Saccharomyces cerevisiae S288C: one gene and its partners. Changing the gene in region 1 together with any one later gene gives a genetic interaction. Each region holds a gene or a part of one and is shown on either strand. Other genes may lie near its edges.

Evidence for each region.
Region 2: mutations in YLR012C (region 1) and YOL029C together harm fitness more than expected from each alone (negative genetic interaction), as found in Saccharomyces cerevisiae (one large-scale study listed by BioGRID).
Region 3: mutations in YLR012C (region 1) and AAT1 together harm fitness more than expected from each alone (negative genetic interaction), as found in Saccharomyces cerevisiae (one large-scale study listed by BioGRID).
Region 4: mutations in YLR012C (region 1) and URA10 together harm fitness more than expected from each alone (negative genetic interaction), as found in Saccharomyces cerevisiae (one large-scale study listed by BioGRID).

The regions. Positions count from the first base shown.
Region 1 is NC_001144.5:169,482-172,240, reverse strand, and holds YLR012C (uncharacterized protein), read left to right. Parts: upstream 1-1,959; coding exon 1,960-2,259; downstream 2,260-2,759. Other genes in the region: GAT3 (Gat3p), read right to left, coding at 477-902; LOT6 (flavin-dependent quinone reductase), read right to left, coding at 2,563-2,759.
Region 2 is NC_001147.6:269,315-272,340, forward strand, and holds YOL029C (uncharacterized protein), read right to left. Parts: upstream 1,107-3,026; coding exon 501-1,106; downstream 1-500. Other genes in the region: GAS5 (1,3-beta-glucanosyltransferase), read left to right, coding at 1-327; YAP7 (Yap7p), read right to left, coding at 1,319-2,056; ribosome-binding protein MDM38, read right to left, coding at 2,689-3,026.
Region 3 is NC_001143.9:235,749-239,391, reverse strand, and holds AAT1 (aspartate transaminase AAT1), read right to left. Parts: upstream 1,857-3,643; coding exon 501-1,856; downstream 1-500. Other genes in the region: SEG2 (Seg2p), read left to right, coding at 1-207; YKL106C-A (uncharacterized protein), read left to right, coding at 2,126-2,245; YKL107W (putative short-chain dehydrogenase/reductase), read right to left, coding at 2,322-3,251; SLD2 (Sld2p), read right to left, coding at 3,605-3,643. UniProt on the Saccharomyces cerevisiae protein: Plays a key role in amino acid metabolism. Important for metabolite exchange between mitochondria and cytosol.
Region 4 is NC_001145.3:806,365-809,484, forward strand, and holds URA10 (orotate phosphoribosyltransferase URA10), read right to left. Parts: upstream 1,185-3,120; coding exon 501-1,184; downstream 1-500. Other genes in the region: RRN9 (Rrn9p), read right to left, coding at 1-59. UniProt on the Saccharomyces cerevisiae protein: Catalyzes the transfer of a ribosyl phosphate group from 5-phosphoribose 1-diphosphate to orotate, leading to the formation of orotidine monophosphate (OMP).

The DNA of each region.
Region 1 (2,759 bases):
GATTGAAAGTAGGGCCACCAATGCTCTTTTCAATCTATTTTTTGAAAACATGAGAGTCCTAAAAGAGCTAACTTAAATGACCGGGGCAGATTAATTGAAAAGTTTGAGGTTTTTGTGATAATCTTCAAAGTTGAACGCATGTATAAAATGATAGAAGCAACAGTCCATTGAGAAGTATGCCACTATAGTCATATATATATATATATATATATATATATATATTTACGTATTAATTGATAAACTATAATACCAACGGCACTTGATACTTGAATTCATCTTACATTTCCAGTGATGATTTTTTTTTCTGGGACTACGCTGATAAAGAAAAATTGCAAGAACTGAGAAACCACTTGTTTTGTATGGCACTTTGACTTTCGAATAACACATAATGTTCGTTATCAACTGTTTAAAGTCGATAAATGTATAATCACTGCTTTGACATAAGTATATAACATTCCGAGCAGAAATAAATTCTCTTAACGCGTTCTTGTAACTCCATAGAGGCTCTTTGGAACTTTTCGTTTGACGCTCACACCTTTTATTTCGTTAAAGTACCGTTTTGCCAGATCCTTGCCAAAAACCAAAAATATTTTTCTATAAAATAATCCACAGGCATTACACAATGTCACCTCTCCATCAGGACCCTCTCTCCATTGCGGAGAAGTTTTTATCACCGCACACTGTGGACATCTCCTGGTGACGCCTTTCCTCTTTTGGACATTGTGCTGAACAACAGCAGTATTATTCGTTGTGACATACAAAGATGCACTAATGGGTTTAGCAGTATTGATTTTTGTTTGAGAGTGAGGTTTTTCGCAGTCTATTGTCTCCTCTACCGGATTCAATAACGATTCAACGGAGATTCTTTTATATTCTGGATGACACAAAGTCTTAATGTTCATAGCAAATTCTTCCTTCTGGCTTTATATTTGCTTCTAGTTGATAATTGTTTACATTTAATGAAATTGTTTCAAATCAAGAAAAGGTAAGATAAGCTCCCTCAAAGAACCTCTCGTCTTATAATATACTCTTCAAACAGAGCAACAAATATTAATTAACATGCTCGACCATTTGTTCTTTTCCATCAAATTGGACCCTAGACCCTTAAAAACATAGATATGACTGAAGAGGAGGTTTTTGACCTCTAGCCTATTATTCCATTTTACAGAGAAGCCTACTTATTTTCTGTGGCAGGCGGCTAAGCAGGTAATGTTGTCCGCATTTTATCAGAAATACTTGCCAAGAAAAAAAAGGGATTTTCATATAAGGGGATTTTCTACAGGTGTTTGTGTGAGTATGTATTGCACCAAATAAGTACTGTGTTAAAGGTTTTGTTGATGCGTTTTCATCGGGGTTAATAGCGTCTAATCCTTCAAGGGAGCTGTAAGTGATACTTTCATTATGCAAACTAAAGAAAGCTGAAGTCCTGGTACGCCACCTGGCACTTCATCTGGCTTCTTTTATTTTTTTATACACAGAAAATAACTTACTTACACTTTTTTTGGAAATAAAACCATTGTCTCGGGGAACATATACATATATATATATATATATATATGTATATAATACCAACTGCAATAAAAGAAAAGAGTCATATTATAAGTATAATTTTGAATGTTCTGTGCATTTTTCACTGTCGAATAGCTTGCTTGTCATGCCAAATAATGGGTTAAATCGCTGTGTGCTGACAATGTATCAAATAATACTTCCCCTAATTGAATGTGTGGCGCTATCCGTATATCCGGACCCTTTTTCAGGGCCGGTCTTGGCATGAAAAAATGTCAGAAGCATGAGTAGAATTAAGTCGAGAACAAACTAATATGAAGGGGATGTTTAATGTAAAAACGTATAAAAAGGCCATGTTCGAGGTGGATAATAGAACAACATTCTATGAAGACGGCAGCTTCAAGACAGAAAATATTCATAGAGATTAAGAGAAAAAGTCTCGAACATATTCAAATGAAGACTGTCTATTACAAAGAAATCACCTACCAGCAGTATCTTCAACTGCAACCTGAACAACAGGAAAAATACCTGGCTTTATGTCAAAAAGATTTTGAACAAGAGACTGAAAGAATTGCATTTGATCGTCAAGGAGGTGTGCCTGGTATTGCTAGGAAATTTGCACAAGAAGAAGTTGCTTGGTTCGATCGCGTTACAACATGGTCATATATGAATGCTTATATTCCGAGCTACAGAAGAAGAAGAAACCTTTTAAAGATTGATATGTTAAAGATGTCTAATGCTGAAGAATACTGAGAATAATTTCGAGCGCCGATCCAAATATTAGGTTTGCTTTATCTTTTTTTATGAAATAAGTTCATGAAATATGAATACTATACCACTACGCATATATATATTTTAAGAAAATTTTCGAATGAAACTTGATGAAATTAGTCCATTAAAAGTGTATGGGTAATCGAAGAGCCCAAACTACCGTTAGTATAATACTTTGTACTTTGTACTCAATACTTAATACTAATTAAAGTCTGGATTACAGTGTCCTATGATAATTGTGTTAGCTTTTCATCTTTTATTGCGACTACAGTTAAATTTTATGGTTTATTTATTCCTCGTTGTTTCGATGCACGATGCGAGTAATTGCAGGATCTCTTCATTGTGCACGCTGAGTTGTGGTACAATGTCCTCGGGTAACGGTATCGTACCTACCGGTATTTTCACCGCCACTCCACCTATAACATTCATCTTCAAACCATGTAGTACCTCTTGAAGTTGGTCATTACACTTACTACCGCCAT
Region 2 (3,026 bases), on another chromosome or scaffold:
GCAGGTTCTCCTATGGGAACCGGAATCGCCACCCAACAAAGTTGTGATGCTAAGGACGATGACGACGAAGAAGACGACGACACCTCCTCTTCATCCTCTTCTTCCTCTTCATCTTCATCTTCCGCTTCTTCATCTTCTGAATCATCATCCTCGACTTCAAAGGCATCTTCCTCCTCCCCTTCTGCTAGCGAAACGAGCTTGCTAAAATCTGCCGCATCTGCTACTTCGTCCAGCCAATCGTCCTCGAAATCAAAGGGTGCTGCCGGAATTATTGAGATTCCTTTGATATTCCGTGCTTTGGCAGAACTTTATAACTTGGTTTTATGAGTTTTCACCCCCGTTCTTTACCACATTGTTTCTAATTATTCCGTTAGCGCCGCTTACTTTTAATGTTCTTAAGATAAAAAAACATCATTAATATTATTATTAAAAAATTCATATATATACCTATATCTATATGCACTATTTATGCTTCCACTTTTCTTTTCTTTCTAAATACATCATTCCAAGACGTTTTTGTCCATCTTATGTAATGCATCCTTGATGCTTTGCAATTCTACTTTCTGTCCACGAACGTGCAATCCAGATGCAATGTTCTCTAACGCTGATGAGATCGAAGTTGAATCCTCAGGATTTAGTTGTTCTTGGATACTTTTATTTTTTTGCATATGTTGACGGATTTTTTGATATGTGTAACTGATCGGCAGATACCTCTTTGCATCGGAAGCCGCATTCATTTGTGCATTCTTGCAGGAACATATTTCGGGTAGCTTGATTGAATTGTAATTTACGTCAGTTTGTTGTTCATTTAGATCCGGTGACAACGCACTGTTGGAAGAGAAAGAGCTTGAACTACATTTATTCGAAAGTGATTGACAAAAATTCCTACTATGGGGGTCTGATCTACATTGCTTGCAGCTTCCAGGTATCCATGACCCATCCTCTTTAGTGATCGGTCTATTCTCGCTATCGTAGATTTCTTTGTCTCCACAGCATTTCGATATTGATTTCTTAGCATCGGATTCTATTTTCTTTTCTGAACAGCAAACGGGGACTAAGGATGGCATTATGTTATTCTTTTGGTTGCAACATGTTACTGGTTTCATGGCATCTTTATTCCTACAACATTTTATTTTTTTGTTGCCACTGCCTGCACATGCATTGATACTGCTGCTGCATGAAGACAGAGGTGAATTAATATGGCCATCAAGCGATGAATTCGTTGAACTAAACTGTCTGCCGCTCAGATATTGATAATCGTTGGCTATATCAATCTCAGACAAAGACTGGTCTGTTAATACCGCGGGCACATGAGATGTTAACAATGGGCCTTCAGCTTTCCTTTTTTTAAACTGACAGCGCCGATTGGTTTAAAGTTTTCTACCATTTCTAATATCGAAATAGGATTGTCTGGCGGGTTTTCTGGCTGCTGTTGAAATGGAGTATTAACAATCAAAGGCAAGGCTTTTTGCAATTCGTTGTTTAATGCTATTGATTTTTGCAAGTTTTCCTTTGTATCGGAAAACTCAGATTCCAGCAGTTTATATTTCCTTTGCCAATCATCGACCAAATTGTGTAGCATCTCAACCTTCTCTTCCAGAACCTGGATTCTTGTTGTTCTGCGTTCCCTATATGCTCTTTGCGCATCTCTATTTTGCCTCCTTCGCTTTTCCACGCTATCGACACCGTTTTCATCACCACTTCCGTTGCCTTCATCATCAGATTTCCCCTCATGACCTTTTGCGCCTTCGTTCTCATGATCTTTTGTGGTCATTTGGTCTTTCTGGTTGGAAGTTTGAACCTTCTTTATCTTGGACGATCCATCATTATTAGCTGATGCATCCCCGCGCTTGGATTTCGGTTTGCGGCCCGGTTTTAGGCGCTGTGGTAACTCCCAATTCTTGGATAACTTAATAGCTGACGGTCCTGATGTACTCACATTTCCATCTGGTGAGGATGGAGGTGGAGACGTCGTAGACATGGAACCCTGTTTATGCCCCAATTTGAAGCCTTTGGGCTTTACGCTAACTGCTACTACAGACCTTCGTTGTCTCATGATCCATTGAAAGTGTGCGTAAATGACAAAATTTTGTGCCTTTCTATATTCTTTAATTGATGATTTACTTCCTTGATAACGGCTCAACAAACGAAGAGCAATTTTCAAATTTCAAAAGAAAAAACCGTTGAAACTGTTCTTGAGCAACTTTCAAGCCTCTTATGATGATGTGCTACAGATTGAAGTACAGGTGAAAAGAGGAATAACCAATAGCCTTGTTTGCTTTCTACGGTGGGGCAGCGGATTTTCTCTTTTATGCTTATGCTTCTTCTTCCATATATTACTAATTTTTCTCGAGCGAGCAGCTTTACTGCGTGCATTACCGATGAAAAAAATCGCCGATATATGAAAATCCAGCTCATAAGATGCTGATTAAGGAGTCATGAGTGAAAGGACCCTCGTGGCCATCACAAAAAAGACACTTTGCTCCTGTATAAAAAAAAAAATAAGGCGGTAGTTTAGATAGGGTGTCTATTATATACATGCATAATAATTTAGTTTTGAAGGGTCGCTGGTTTTGCCGTGACGTACGCTTCTCTTTGATCTTTTGCCATTGTTGTCAGAGAAAAGAGAACCGATTGACTTTTTTTTTTTAGTTTTTTTTAGTTTTTTTCTTAGGCTTTGATCTAATATCAATCTTTCTTAATGACAAAAGTCTTCGCAGCTTGATCGGCCGGAATGGGAGGTACAGATTTTGCTTCTTCCTCTTCATCTAGGTTGATATCATCTGGCACATGCTCTCTCGAAGCTCTTTGCTTAGCTTCCTCTTCCTCCTTCTTTATTAGTTCTTCTTGCTCCTTCAAAACGTTCAATTTGAACTCGTTATCGTCGGATGTCTTCTTTTCTTCAGCTTCCGTGGCTTCCGCAGAGTCGGTAGGCTCTGCGTTCTCTTTTTCCTGAGATATTTCCTCTGTCTTCGCTGTTTCTGCCTTTTCATTAACTACGACTAGTTTAGGAGTAACCGCAGAAG
Region 3 (3,643 bases), on another chromosome or scaffold:
ATATCTGGTGGAACAGCCACTTTGGAGTCATCAAATCCTGACCTGCCTACAGCCTTACCATTAAGCGTTCCGGTGACTATCATTGATAAAAATGGAGAGATACACAAGCTTCATAACGATGATGCAGCTATAAAAGATAAGTCGCATGACCGTCACGGTCACAGTAAATTCGGTAGGAAACTGAAAAAAATTTTTGGCAGGAAATGATTTGAAAGAAGAAAACATAGGAAACCTAAAATGAAATGTAAGGATATGATGCACTGCCACCGTAATTAAAATAGTTGGCTAGCGCTAGCTTTCTTTTCATTTAAAATTTAATAACTAGTTCGATCACGAATTAATCCAATCTAGTTATCTGAAAAGTGTATATAGAGTAGATAAAAAAAAGGTTTATTAATTATTACAAAAAATTATTATATTCTATAAATTATTGTGTGGCAAAATGAGAAGGGAAAAGTAATAAAAAAATAAAGACAAAGGTGAACTGTAAGGTGAAAAAATTATGCGAGTTTGTCCATTTTCGAGACTGCTTCAAGAGATTCACATAAGTAATCAACGTTCGAATCATTGACTCCGCTAAGCGACAATCTACCATCACCTGTTAAATAGACGAAGTAATTGTTTCTCAATATTTCGACTTGCTTTGGACTAAACCTTGTATAGTAAAACATACCGTGCTGTTGTGCGAAATTTACAAGATCCGGCCACCCTAGACGGTCAAACATCTCCTGTCTGACGTGATGCAATCTCTGAACCATGAAATCAACATCCTTGAACCATTGCTGTTTCAATTTGAAATCTGATAATACTACATTTACCACACGAGAACCGTATCCTGGTGGAGAAGAATACATACCTCTGACAATCTTTTTTAATTGGGAGTCAATATTTTGCTGCAATGAGTTTTTCTGTTGTAGAGGGTTGAACTTTCCATTGTTCGCAGTTGCCGGCGTGATAACGCTTAAGGAACCAACTCGTTCACCATAAAGGCCCATGTTCTTGGCAAAAGATTGACAAAGAAAGATACCGTTACTCCAATTTGGATATTTATTTACATTGAGACATAGCCTCAATAAATATGCGTCCTTTAGTAAGTTACCAGACTCTAAACCCTGATAAGCCATATCAACAATGGGTACCATTTTTAGCTCATATATAGTATCTATAATCTTTTCCCATTGCTCTTTAGTTGGGTCGAGACCTGTAGGGTTGTGACAACACGCATGCAAGATTATGCAAGGTGGGTTCTTATTGTTTTCTTGCTGGTTGTTATATGCAAAGGTTTTCAATTGCTCAATCCATCCGTCGATGTCTATCTGACCGTCCTTATAATAGGAATACCGGTAAATATTTTCAAAACCATTGTTCTGAAAAATGTTCTTATGATTTGCCCATGATGGGTCAGGTATCCAAATATCTCTTGAAATAAATAATGCCAAGAATTTAGCTGCTACAGCTAGGGCGCCTGTACCACTCAAAGTCTGAACAAAGCTGATTCTATCATGGGCTAAATAAAATGGCCCAAACTGCGGACATGATTCCTTGAACAAAAATTTCATAACGTTTTCCTGAAATTCTTTGGAACCTGTTATTGGTAAATATGAAAGATTCTTATTCAACTCTAAATGAGATTCAATCAATTTTTGAGCTTTTGCAACGGAGGGAAACGTCGTCACTTTGCCCCAACCATCTTTATATATTCCTACGGTCAGGTCAATTTTGTTAACATTTTTTACCTTTTTGAAGTGTTCAGATAACCCCAAGACTTTATCTGGAGGTGCTCTTGGTACTCTACTAAGCGATGACGTGTAGTAGGGCCTCCATAGACTGCAATTAGTAAGCCTCGTCCTCAACATCAAGTCTTTCGGCAGTGAAAAACGGATAGTAATTTTCAAATGAGAAGGGAAAACGCACTCAATAGTATGCTATCGTTCAATCCGCTATCGTCTATTCTGTATTTTTTTTTTCTTTTCAATTGCGACGGTTAGCAATTAGATAACCAAGACAGAGAGAGCGAATACTTGCTAGCAATTTATATACGTAAGCGAAAAATGTAAAAAAAAATATGAAAAATGCGGCATCCTAAATATTGGAGCAAAGCAGAATAGTGCTTCCATACTCCAAGATGCCATTTCCGTCGATATTACATCTGACAATAGGAAGATATGCGAGCTATGACTCCAACAATCACATGAGACGGCGTGCAAAACTCATGGAAGCCATCTTCCGCATCCGAACAATATGAATCATCGACGATGGTCGCATGCAAACGCCCTTTAAAAAGTGAAATATTTAAATATAAACCAATTAGTTACAGCAAGTCATTCGTTACTGGAAGTGAAAGGACTTTGATTACGCAAGGCCTTTTCAACTAGAAGTTCCGAATTTTCCATAAACTTCTCAACAACATCTTTGGTCAAACCAGGCGAAGGTAAAATAGCATCGCCTTTGTTGCTGAACATTGTACCACTGCGTGATTCGATAGCGGGGCTCGCAATCAGGGTGCATATTGTTTTCGCATACGTCTCTGCGCTTTGACAGGTCCAGCTGATTATCCATTCTGTAATGCGGCTGAGGTAGGTGTCACTGCCAAGAAGATTATTACGAATGTTCGTTTTGATCAGCCCAGGGTTCAAACCGAAAGTATCTATATTCGTGTATCTGTCTTTAGCGTCTATGACCAGACTTTCATTGGCTGCCACAGTGTTCATATGTGTAGCGTAGGCACTATACTTCTTTTCATCAGAATTCAAGTCATCTGGGTCTCCCACCTGACCATTTCCTGGAAACCCTGCTATGAAAACTTTTGGCAAATCGTCTTTTTTTGTCCTACTAATTCCTAATCGCTTCGCCACATCATGGAAGATAATGTATCTACTCAAATAGCTCACTGCCATGTCTTTTTCCAAACCCTCACTTGTAGCTTGTCTCTGGCGTGATGCAAAAATACCCGTAGTGAAAATCAGATGTGTTAACTCCTCGTAGGGAATTTCATCACTATGAGATATACGCTTGCATTCTGACACTAAACTTAAATCAGCCTTGACAAAGTTAATTTTATCTTTTAGGTCCTCGTCCCTAAAAGTTTGCCCGACAACAGTAACCCTGGCATTTCTTTGGGCCAGCTCTCTACTTATTGCACGTCCAAGTCCACCTGTGCCACCAATTATGGCCACATTAAAACGACTAAAATCAATGTCATTGATATTTTTTCTTTCCCAACTGACGGTGGGATCCTTTTTCCAGAACATCCTGCTAAATGCGCCAATATACTATTATTAGTTTTTCCTTGATACGTGGTAATATTCTGTTTGTTGGTTCACCTTTTCATTCACTTGAATTGTTTTAAATTTTGTATTTATACCTCTGCCGATTATTCCTCCCCTAATTGATGATTGCAGATTATGTAATATATATACATATATGGACGAGGCCCCTAATTGAACAACAAAAATAAAAAGTGTAAAAACATGCTAGTCTCTATATTGATAAAAATACGTATGATGTCCATATAAACTATACGTCATGCAGCTGAAGGAATCTAACTGAATACTTAATAGGTTTCTATAAATTACAAATGTTTGTATTATTTACGCCATCACGCTCACCTTCTTCCCCATCGTCCATTAGAGAATCGGTTTTT
Region 4 (3,120 bases), on another chromosome or scaffold:
TCTTCGATAGGAGCATCGATCTGAGTTTCAATTTGACTTTCTTCGTCAAGATCACTCATCAAAACCCCACGTAATGTTTGTTCTCAAATATATTTCGTCGTCCCGAAATCAGCACAGTTTTATAATGCAACTGTTAAATGTCTAGAGAGAAAAAACCGCCGACACATCAATATTTTCACCCTTTATGGCTAAACTTGAGTGTGATTCTTGCATCTGAGTAATCTTCAAACACGAAAGGCCTTTTTGTTTATTTTGTAGAAGAAAAATATTTTAGTGAAAAATTATGGAAAGTAGTAGAAATCCTCTCAAGTGAAGCATGACAAAAAGAAAAGTAAGAAACCTTAAAAGACACTAATAGTTGATGAATTACTATGCGAGAACTCACGTAACTCCAACAATAAAAAGCTATTTACGTATACTGATTAAAAAAGAATACAAGAAAAATTTATTCTTTCCTATACAAACAATGATAATCAAATGGTCCATGTCAGTTCTATAGTTCATATACCATAGGCCTTACGGTAGTTTTCAATCGCTGATTTTTGCTCTGGTGATAGTCTATTTCCCATAAATTGTACCACTTGAGTCAGTGATACAATACTTAGCACAGGAACGTTGTATCTCTTTGAAACAGATTGGGTAGCACTTGTTCTTTCCGGATCAGATTCATGAATCACTTCTTGCCTATCTAAAGCAACAATACAACCCACTACCCTACCTTGAGCAATACTGATTATCTCAAATGCTTCATTGATTGCAGTTCCTGCAGTCATGACATCGTCGATAATCAACACCCTCTTGTCTTCAAGCGATGCTCCAACAATAATACCACCTTCGCCGTGGTCTTTAACTTTCTTTCTATTAAAAGCATATTGAATACCTTGAAATTTAGTGCCCCCGATTTCTGCTAGTTTAACGCATACAATAGCAGCCAAAGGGATCCCTTTGTAAGCAGGTCCGAAAATAACATCGAATTTAAGCTCCGATTGAATGATAGCAGTTGCATACGCGGTGGCAAGGTTTGCCAACAGCTTTCCAGAATTGAACAAACTAAGATTGAAAAAATATGGCGACTGCCTGCCTGAATTCAGCTTGAATGACCCAAATCTTAGTGCTTTGCATTCTAATCCCAGTTCAAGGAAAGTTTTTTGATATTCCTCTAAACTTGTAGTAGATGCAGACATTATTGGATTATGTTTTATTATTCTTGATGGCTCTAGGTCTCGACTATTTTGCGTGACACTTCCTTAGTTCTTAATCTATATAAAAGAGCCTGTGATGGCCTTTTACCCTAGATTAGGAAGCGAAGGGGCCTTTCCCGAAAGGTTATGTATGACTCCCTTGAAATGCATATGATAATTAAAACCAAAAAATGTTATGTGATTCTGAAAGGAAATGCTGTCATGTGAGTCAGGTGTAGAGCAGGTTAGAACAGTTTATATTACATAGTCTGAAAGGCACGTGAGAAAGTGCCATACCATTAGCCGAATACGTGAAATGTCTAAAAAAATACAAGTGAAAGAATAAAGTGCTAAAAAAACTATCAGGCTCTCAGAAGGCAATTTAGCCATATGTATACATATATATGTGTGTGTATAAACCTCATATAAGGGGCCCCAATGGTTTATCTAAAGGATATCCTATTAGGACTTGTCTGTCACACGCAAAACTTCAAATGACATAATGATGAGCACTTGTCAAATAATTGAGTAACTTCTTCGATATCTCTGGTATGTAAAAATAAGTATATCGAGATGAGCGATTGTATCTGTATAGAGGTTGGTTTCTTTTTCTTACCTTTCTCTTTTTATTTTTTTCTCGCATTGGTTCAAAAAAAAAAAATGATGGTTTAAATTTCGTAAAATACGAAAAATGAAGGGAAGGTCCCACCCGGATTCGAACTGGGGTTGTTCGGATCAGAACCGAAAGTGATAACCACTACACTATAGGACCTTTTTCTTCTGTTGTTAGTGTACACTAAAACTTCCGGTTTTATGGAACCTTTTTAAGAAAGATGGTCCCTATTTTAACAATATCGCAAGCAATGGATCTTGTACTGGTACGGAAAACCGTATATACTAACAAATCTTAGGTTTCTACGTCTGACTAAAGAAAGAATTGTGAGTGAGGTTTATAGTAGAAGCTCTCCTCATGACTTTGGGCTATGTAAATTGTTGATAATTAGAGGTAAAAAATAGTATTAATGAAGAAATAATTACTGATCTTCTTATACTAAATAAGAGAGGTATATAAAACACACGCCGATTGGTCATATTAATCATGACCAATATAATAGTGATTCCGGTAGTTACTATACATTTATGTGACGACTCATATTCCTCATATATGTACCTACCATAACATGTTCAACTAATAGGTCTTTAACACAGCTTCAGTATTGTCTGAGCTTCTCGTTTAACATTCCTTCTGCAATAGGTGCAATCACACTTAAACGTATACGAGGTGTACATTAATATACGATGTAAGCATTAGATTGTTACCATAGCAACTCATGTCACTATTAATTACTCTCGTTCCAACATAAATGCAATTGATGATTTGCGCAACGCAGATACAGATTTTACTTTATTCTTCGTGCCTAAAATGGACCATCGTTTCACTTACTAGCCGTTGTTTACTAAGATATAGTTGTATACGGTGTGGAGGATGATAAGATCATTGGACCAATATAACTATATAAATGTCGGCACCAGTTTAATGGAACCTCGAATGCAATTACTGATAACGGAATGGATTAAGAAATGATTAGGTATGAGGTACTCTTATAGTATGTAGAATTTCTGATTTGCTTATGTGTTCATTTATTCTCGAGAAGAACCCTTAGTATATTCTGTGTCCTAATATTACAAAAAGTCAATGAGAGTCTAGGGACTATCAGATAACTTCACTGTGCTCATCTTGATTCCTGTTCTAACGACAGTAACACAGGATACGGTTAGTATTTTTTTGCCAACCTGATCTGTGAAAGAAAAATGTACCTGTCAATTCGGTTCTTTTTTGAGGCCGCTTTTTCGTATAGTCGTCATCGATTGGATATTCGTTTAAGAAATAACGTGCTTGTTCATCGATTTCATCTATGATTCCATTCCATGTGTATGT